2 linked regions of the Drosophila melanogaster genome follow. The protein of the gene in region 1 interacts with the protein of each later gene in a pairwise test. Each region holds a gene or a part of one and is shown on either strand. Other genes may lie near its edges.

The links.
Region 2: the proteins of CG8064 (region 1) and CG6380 interact in a two-hybrid assay, tested with the Drosophila melanogaster proteins (one large-scale study listed by BioGRID).

The regions. Positions count from the first base shown.
Region 1 is NT_033777.3:18,281,893-18,287,435, forward strand, and holds CG8064 (uncharacterized protein), read left to right. Parts: upstream 1-1,767; 5' UTR 1,768-1,841; coding exon 1,842-1,999; intron 2,000-2,063; coding exon 2,064-4,674; 3' UTR 4,675-4,732; downstream 4,733-5,543. Other genes in the region: eIF1A (eukaryotic translation initiation factor 1A), read left to right, coding at 1-44; CG14312 (uncharacterized protein), read right to left, coding at 1,179-1,465, 1,523-1,562; CG7131 (uncharacterized protein), read right to left, coding at 5,073-5,128, 5,190-5,543.
Region 2 is NT_033779.5:17,290,449-17,294,323, reverse strand, and holds CG6380 (uncharacterized protein), read left to right. Parts: upstream 1-2,121; 5' UTR 2,122-2,215; coding exon 2,216-3,097; 3' UTR 3,098-3,249; downstream 3,250-3,875.

The sequences.
Region 1 (5,543 bases):
AGATCAGCTCCGAGGATGACGCCGACTCCGTGGACAACATCTGATTAACAAGAAACAAAGTGGCGCCGGGTGGGACGACGACGACGGCGGGAGCGTCTGGAACGTCTGTCTCGGCAGCAGCACCAGCAGAAGCGGAATCAGTTCGAGAATAGTAGGGAATTTAATCAATTGTAAAAAGCAGAAAGCCGGTAGCCCCGAGTCCTGTTCGAAGTCATAGCCAACATCCAATCTAATCCAATCCTAAACATTTATCCGGCATCCACAAAGCGGCGCAGCGGCAGTTAAATTGCGAAACCAAACCTATAGTATCAGTTCATTTATAGCCATTTTTAATGTTCTAATCTACTCTGAAATTGTTTTATTCCGAAAATCCAAATTGAAACGGTTTGATTTATGGCCGCCTTAAACAACAAATTATTAATTACAAATAGTAGAACTGTTACGCTGTGCAAGAAATGGAACATTGCGAAACATAAACTAATAATATTTGAATTAAAAACGAAAAAACAAAGAAAAACAAACGGATATTAGTTATTATTTATCTACCAACAAATCTATCCAACTAAATGAAAAAGTAAAAAAAAAAAATAAAAAACATAACGATATATTAATGAAATCTACAACTCATACACATAAAATAGGAGTTTAGCGAACACTAATATTTAAGGCAAAAGGATATATAATAATAATGATCAAAAGGCGAGATGTGAGGTTAGCTAGCGAGTAAGCAAAATCAAATCCATGAGTTTTCGCCAGATATATCTGCGCCCCATCCCCCCAAGTGTTCCTTTTCAGCGTTTCGTGTCATGTCTTTTGTTTTTATTATACACCTGCGTTATATTTTGATGGTTTTCCATATAGCAATATCCAAATCATTTTCCAAACGCCCCATTTTCTTTTTTGCTGTCCATGCATTCAGTTTTCCCTTTTCAGTTTAGTTGTAGTCTAATTCGAACCAAACAAAAAACAATGGATGTGTAAAAAGTGATGAGACTATTGATTTTTGTAATGAGTTGAACTCCAATAAATGGCGTTGATTAACCCGAATGCAAAACAGCACACGTTCCAAGGCTTTTTCACTTTTTGATAGTAAAATTCATGCTACAATTTATTATTAAATGCAGAAACTCGTACATAATTGTGTGTAAGCGGAAAACCGCCATCGAATTTGGCATCGTTTACAGCTCCTCGTGGCGCGAAGGGAACTTCTTGAGTATGGCATGGTAGAGACTGTAGAAGGCGTACACCGAAACCGTGATGATCACCAGCAGAGCTCCGCCGAACGCGATGCTCAGGAAGTTTCCATCGATGATGCCCGCCGAGCGGTGGCGCTTGGTGGAGAATATCTCCTCCGTGGTCGCCGGGTTGTTTTGCTGCTGGGACGTCCGCTCGGCCATCAGCCGCTTCATGGTGCTCAGCCGCTCCCGCAGAACTTCCACGGACTCGGTGTCCAGGTCAGAGGTTCCTAGAGCGATTTTGTTTACTTTCTGTTCTCATTAAAATGAATATATGTTATTAATACCTGTCGACTGGGATGCGGAAGCACTGGGATAGGTAGACATATTTGGATCTCTGTTCTGTGCTATTTGTGAAAAAACTGCAGCTTGAGCTGGCCAAAAACAGAGTTATCTTAAACGTTTTGGGGTGGGTTTGTTAGATTTTCGAGTTTTAAAAGCGCAGGCGCGTAACGGAAATCGCGCGGCGTTGCCACCCAATCGCGCTGCCAACTGCTTTGATTTGCGAAGAACAAATCGATAGAAACGGCTGGCAATCGATTGGGAACCATCTCCAAACACGTGAAACGCGATTTTTGATTTACCTTATGTGTTTTGAATGCTGCAATGGGTTTAACTAAACAATATTTGGCCTACCGGGCTATAGACAGCTTTAATATCATCACCTCCGGCCGCGCCAATGTGAACTTTGCCGTTGTGGACAAGACAGAGGGTCGATATGTGGCCGCTCCAGCTGCTGAAAATGTGATCGTGTGGGATTTGCGGTAAGGCTATTTAAGCTTTTCCTTTACTTCGTTTTTAAACTGACATGAATTTATATTTCCCCAGAATGGGCGATCGCAAGCTGACGCTGCGCCGCGAAAAGTTCGAGGTCACCTCCCTGAGGGTCTCGCCAGATCACCTGCACATTGCCGTTGGCTATGCGGATGGCATGGTGCAGATCTTCGATCTCAGCTCGGACAGGTACTACGATCCCATCTGTACGCTGGCACTCCACAAGAACGCTGTTAGCATCCTGCGGTACGATTTGCAGGGCATGCGTCTGGTGAGCGGAGGCCTGGACACCGAATTGGTGGTCGTCGATGTGGTGGAGCAGGCGGGAAGAGCTCGATTGAGTGGCCACAATGCCGCCATCACGGACGCCCATTTCCTGCAGCGTCTGGTAGACGAGAGCATAGTGGTAAGCTGTTCGAAGGACACGCAGATCAAGTTCTGGAACCTGGAGACGCAGTTCTGCTTCAAGACAATCGTGGATAACCGCACCGAAGTCTGGGCACTGGCCTTTATTGGGAATCTAATGGTAGCTGGCGCCGGCGAAAGCGGCATGAATGTCTACCGCCTGAGAAAGCACGACGGTGCCATCACTGAAACTCTGGAGTCTGCAGTTGAAGGCCTGTCTATTGATGACGAGGACACCATCAGCCCCATTAGCGTGAGCAACTGCGGCACCATCCAGCGCGCTGGAAAGGGCCGCACCGTCAACCTGGTGACCGATCCCAGTGAACGCGTGATCAGCTGCCACGGCACTAATGATCTAATCGAGAACTTCTACATCTGCACGCCGGACGAGGTAAAGAAACGACTGGCTAAGCGTCTAAAGAAGGAGAAAAAGGTCGCCGAAGATGAGGGATCAGACGAAGCAAAACTGTCCACGGAACAATCGCTGAGCGATGAAATCAAGCGACTGGAAAGCATTCGTGCCAAGCAAAAGATCAAGTCCATAGATGTGGTTTTGGGCCAGAACCAGGAGCTGCGTGTCCTTGTTAGTTTGGCCAACAACAGTCTGTGCTTGTACTCGCTGGAGGCGTCTATCAAAACGCGCAAAGCAACCGATCCCAGCGCGAAACTACTTAGGTCACTTACTCGTCTGGGGCACCAGTCCGAAGTGCGATCCGTATGCTTCAGCAACGATTCCCTGGCCATTGGTTCCGGAGCTGGAGAATCCTTTAAGTTCTGGGATCGAGATGCCATGCAGTGCCTGCGTACTGTGCCAACGGACTACATCCTCTGTTCGAAGTTTGTTCCCGGCGATCGCTACGTCCTTCTGGGCATGAAGAGTGGCAAATTGCTCATTGTGGACGTGGCAGCGGCTGATATAGTGGAGGAGATTCCGGCTCACGAAGGCGAACTTTGGTCCATTGCCATACTGCCCGATCAAAAGGGTTGCGTCACTGGCAGCGGCGATACCACGGTTAAGATCTGGACATTCGAGCTGATCGATGCCGGCGAGGGTGCTGCCCAAACCAAGGTGCTGTCCCTGCTGCACAAAAACACACTGAAGCTGGAGGAGACCGTGCTCTGTTTGGCCGTTAGTCCGGACATGAAGTACCTGGCTGTGGGCTTGTTGGACGCCACCGTGAAGGTTTTCTTCCTGGACACCTTTAAGTTCTACCTATCACTGTACGGCCACAAGTTACCTGTGATCTGCCTGGACATCTCCTACGACTCCAATCTCATTGTAACAGGATCAGCAGATCGTAACGTAAAAGTTTGGGGCTTAAATTTCGGAGACTGTCATCGTTCCATTTTTGCACACGACGATTCGGTAATGAGTGTACAGTTTATACCCAGGACGCACATGTTCTTCACGTGTGGAAAGGATGGAAAGGTGAAGCAGTGGGATGGCGATAACTTCGAGAAGATTCTTACCTTACCTGGACACATAGGCGAAGCGTATTGTCTGTCCGTTTCTCCGAATGGCCGATATTTGGTCACCTGCGGATCAGATCGAACTCTTAGAATGTTCGAGCGAACAGATGAGACTATTGTGTTGAAGGATGTGCAGGAGGAGGAGCGAGAGCAAATGGAGAATGAGCAACTGGCCACGGGCGAGGACAACACAGTTCCCTTGCTTCCGGGTCTGAAGATGCCGTCACGCAAAACAGTGGGTTCCGAGCAGTCTGCTGAATCGATACTCGAATGTCTGGAGATATCCAAACAGTTCGAGCTCGAGGCGGAGGAGAAACCCGAGTTACATCCTCTGATGCAGGCTTTGCAGGTTAAGAATCCCGAAGACTTCCTGGTCAGCACCCTGATGAGGATACGTGCGTCCGATCTGGAGGAGGCACTTCTTCTACTCCCCTTCTCCACTGTGTGCGAAGTCCTCGAACGCCTGCCCACTCTGCTGACCCAGCGACCCGACCAACTGGAGCTGCTTTGCCGCGTCACCATCTTCCTGTTCAAGGTGCACATGAAGCCCATTTCGGCGGCTAAGAACATGAAGCCGCTGCTCGTCAAGCTGCTCTCGATGCTCAAGCGGGACGTTGGTCAGCTGCGCGATGTCTTAGGATGGAACCTGCACGGTCTGGCCCTGCTGCAAACGGAAGTGGAGCAGCGCGATGGTGTCCAGCTCTTCAGGGAGGCCACACAGACCCGCAAGAAACGGGATAAGAAGCGGAGAGAAGCCAGCAAGCGGAGGCTGCAGATTCAAATGGTTTGAGACGCAATACCCTAGACTTAGTTGTATAAATCCAATTAAAACGATTAGTTATTCCGTGATTTACTGGATTTCTATATTTCTGTGAACAGAGTTTAATTTGACAATGAGGAATACACCATAATTCATAAGCCATGTATTGGATCACCGGCAATTTTCTGTATATGCATATGGGATTGACAAAATCGGATAAAAGCGATGGTGCAGCGAAGCAAACGGATAGCGCCGCTCGATTAATGGATGCAGTTCGCAAAGCGAACCCTTTGACAAGCATTTACAACAGAAAACAACATATCTCTTTAGAAGACGTGGACTGAAAGATTTAGCTTGAACATAAAACGTAGAACTCGGGATGAGCTTGGGAGACGGATTCTTCAGAGCAACCATAATGTATTTCCAGGCTAACAAATGCCGGCTTTGGGAAAGGTGCCATCGTTAGCGCCAGTTCCACAAGGACCTGTTTGGGATTATGCATTTTTTTTTATAAATGCTAGGAAGTAAATCTGGTGATAACCTACCTCCGCAGCGCTGGAAGGCACCTGGCGGTCCGTAGCTAAGTTTCTGGATGGTACACTTCTCAATAGGTCCGGTTGGCCGGCAGTAGGATGTGTACCTGGCCCACGGCAGTGGCTCCTTGGGCGGCACACAGTTCGGCAAGTAGCTGAGTTTGTATGTGGTGCACTTTTCCATGGGTCCCTCGTTCCGGCAGAATCCCTGTCGTGGTCGGACGGACTCGGCGCGTGGGAAACAGGTGACATCCACCGGCATGTACGACAACTTGTTCACCGTGCAGCGCTCCATGGCTCCAGTGGGCCGGCAGAAGGCCGTTCTCGGCATGATCGGAGCCCTCCTCACGTGGGGCTTGGCCACAA
Region 2 (3,875 bases), on another chromosome or scaffold:
TTGAGGAAAAAAGACAAAGACGGCTAGCCTTTTCATAGTTCACTGTATGCCGAATGTGTGGGGCGTTTCGATGCAACTTCTTGCGGAAACGGATGTTGCATTGCATAGCGGAAGACGAGAGCCGAAAGAGTCGAGGAAAATTTATGATTTTGCCATAAAATCCTGTTGATATGTGGATGCAAGGAAGGCTCCTTGCCCACGTTCGATTTTCTCACCTCACAGCTGTTATTTATGCGCATATGTATGCGGCGCGTTGCACGTAGAATTTGCACAGACAGAGCCTCGGATACGGATACTCAGATACTCGGATACACACACATATACGCAGACACTCGAACACAGATACACAGTTGCGGATACGCAATGCACACATCCTGCCGGCACTGCACATTGTTGCGATTGATGCACATAAGAAATGCAATCGGGGCAACTGCAATTTCGTAAATCGAAGGAAAAATTTCCTAGCCGCATCAACATCGCATTTCGTCTCCGACAGAGAGGCAATCAAACATGGCAGGAAAACTGCAGCTGAAAAACAGTTGTTGACTGTTTGCCGGCATCGCCTATATCTCCATCATCATGATGTTGATGATCATCATCATCTTCACCTCGCAACAGGACACAACATCGCAACGTCATCATCGCGTGGAGGAACAAGTGAAGGAGGACATATCCTCGTCATCGTCACTTTTATGCTGCTGTTTTGTCGCATCCACTGTGCTTATAAGCATCCGCTCGTCACATGCGTGCAAGCGTATCGGGGATCTACACAGCGAGAAAACGGATTTAGCTTATAATTTTTAGTAATATACATTTTGAATAATATATACCTAATTAGTCATTCCATCAGATAAACGGAAACTGATAATATTGTCTCTCCCCTTAAAATATATTAATATTAATATAAAAATATTAAAGGCATCGTGCTTTAATATTTTTACGCATTTTTTCTCGCGGTGTCTGGGCTCGTATCTGAACGTACTCCGGCAAAGGCTTGTTTATTTGCTGGCAAAATTGTGAAATAATGTGCTGCAATCAATTCCCAATACAGCGCTCCGTGACCTCTAGCCCCTCTTCACATGCGGCACTCCCTCACTTTTCCCTTTGGAAAAGCGGGAGAAAGCGGGAAAAACGGTGTGCAGTGAAGTTATTTGAAGTGGCAGCTGCCACAGAGCGAACTGCAACTGCCACAACTGCATTGGTTGCCCCACGCCTCTTATCATCACTTGATTTACCGCCCCCACTTCCCCCATTTTCCACGTTTTCGTCCGTATCGGAGGTAACATGTTTGTGATGAATATGTTTACATCAATAACAAAAACTCCACTATGGCGCATCAATAATGAAGCCTTGCTCTGACTCCGCTTTACAAAACCCCCTATCATTCCATCCAACGGGCGGCAAAACCCCATTTTGAACACGTCAAAATGAGTTTACTTTGTGGTTTCGATGGCTGCGATTGGAAACTGCTCCCGCGGATTATGAAGTATCTCGATTGGAGTACCGAATACATTCATCCACACACAAACACATCGAGTTCTTGACATCCTCAACACAAAAACAACAGTAGCAATGGCAACAGGGATTACTTCGAGATTGCAGCAGGAAAACCACTTGATATTTTGAAAGTGAATCCGTCCACAGTCTGATCGGAGATTTGGTATTATCCGAGATTAGGGGTTGGGTATTTGCTCGATACGGAGACAAGGACTTAATTTATAATTAATAAACATGTTTGGCTTAATTTACCAGAGAATAATGATGGAGTAACAATGAATTTGAAACTCCACTAAGCAGCATTTAAACAACATACGTAAACATACAAATTTAATATGTATGGTAACAATAAATAAAGTAATTTTAAAATCGAATATAAGAAGATAATATGTGACTTGAAGCAGGCATACCTTCTACTACATAATTAGATCCCAATTTAAAATGTTAAACAGAGTAATTTGAGTGCAGAGTTCATAGAGAGATTTATGATAATAAATTAAAAATAAAATAAAAAATTGTACGCGAATGTAATGAAGTTATACAATAATCTTCCAAGAAAAGGAGCCCACGATTTTTATATATTTTTTGACGATGACAATGTATTTTATCAGTTAAATATTATAAGCCATATAGGGCACACACAAGTTTACACTAATACATTTTAGTTCGGTAATTAGTTCCTTTCAAAGGCCAAAACTACACATAGCTACAAACAAGAATGGATGGGGACCAAGTAAAGGGCATCCTGAAGTCGGGAAACAATAGTGCGCAATTTAGCCTGAAGGCAGCCAAATTTGATGAGGTCAACATACTGGCCACGTTCCACCCGGCTGGTAAGGACTACGGCCACATGATCATCGACGAACCAAAGACACCCTTCGTCTTTGAGGAGGATTTGCCAAAGGAGTTGGATACAAATGCCCTGATCGAAAAGTTGAGACACACATCAAAGTCAGAAATGCCGGCATTTGGCATCGAAGGAGACTCAGAAGAATCCTCGGCGGATGAGGACTTTCCCGAGTCTGTAGAGGAAAAAGTGCGTAGAATGGAGTTTGAGAGGCGGCGAAAAGTGCATTACAAGGAGTTCTATTCGGTTCCACTGGCTCGACGTCTTATAGCCGACGAGTTTGCCGAGTTGACCAGTTCAGAGTTTAATATTCACTGCGAAGGGGGAATGGAATCTTGTGAAGCGTGCAGTGAAAACAATCAACTCGACGGCGAAGCAAGCAACTTGACGCAAACAAAATACTCATATTCTGAAAGTCAATCCGAATACAGGATATCAGATCATTCTGAGCCTGAACCAGGTTTCTCCCCCAGCCATCACTGCTACCAAAAACTGAAGGCCGAGCTCTTTAGCAAAGCAGAGCCGGAAGAATTGGCCTCTTTAACGCACTTGCATCGAATGCCATCGGTCAACGATGATGAACCAAGTCGCGAGCCTCGCGTCCCATACCCTTCGGTTGTTCCGACTCAAACCCAAAATCTACATGAACACAAGAGTTCACTGAAAATAACGTCCGAGAAGCCTACTCCTGCTCGTATATGTAAATCCAACCCTGATAATCGTCCTGGCACTTCTAAGAAAGAGACCCGCTGAAATCATTCAGTAGTGTTAAAAATTGCAAAGTTATATTAAAGAAACTTGTAATTATAACAAACCATTGGGGATTAAAACTTGTGTATGCATTTGACAGAAAGTATCTATTACACTACATCTATCTACACTCTTTTGTAGAAGAAGCTTTTAACAAATGTTGCCTAATGGTTTTTACTCAAGGATAAATATCTTTAATTACTCAATCACAAAAATTGTGTCCAATAACTTTCGGTCATTCCACTCCTGTTCGTGCCTCGTCTAAGTTGCTAAGGAAATTATAGGAAAATTCTAAGTACCACTGGCCAGGCTAATTGCTGAGATGTTGATATGATTAACCCACTAACCTTCATTTGCTCCCCATCTATTAATACTTTGCTTCCGAAAGTTCACTGGTCTGGGGAATATTTAATTACGCAATGTCCTAACGGTAATCATCATTCGGCCGAAGCTAGATACAAGGATACACAGCCAGAGTTTAACTTATTTTGGCATTTTGTTTTGTGATTGAAAATTCCTTTTGACAGTCTAGGCAACCGAAGAGTTTTCCTTCCGGCCAATCGCTTTCATTCTGATTTCATGCTCTGGCCATTCCAATTGTGAAGAAAACTGATTTCTGCCCTTTAAGATAATTCCTCGGATATTACAACTGCAGAATCACTTGAAATAATTATGCAAAATGTTTAATTTAGCCATTAAATGCCGTAGCAGTTCAGTTTTATTATTATTAAGCTTCGGTCAATTCGCTTGCAAATGAAAGGACAACACAAAACCGGATGGT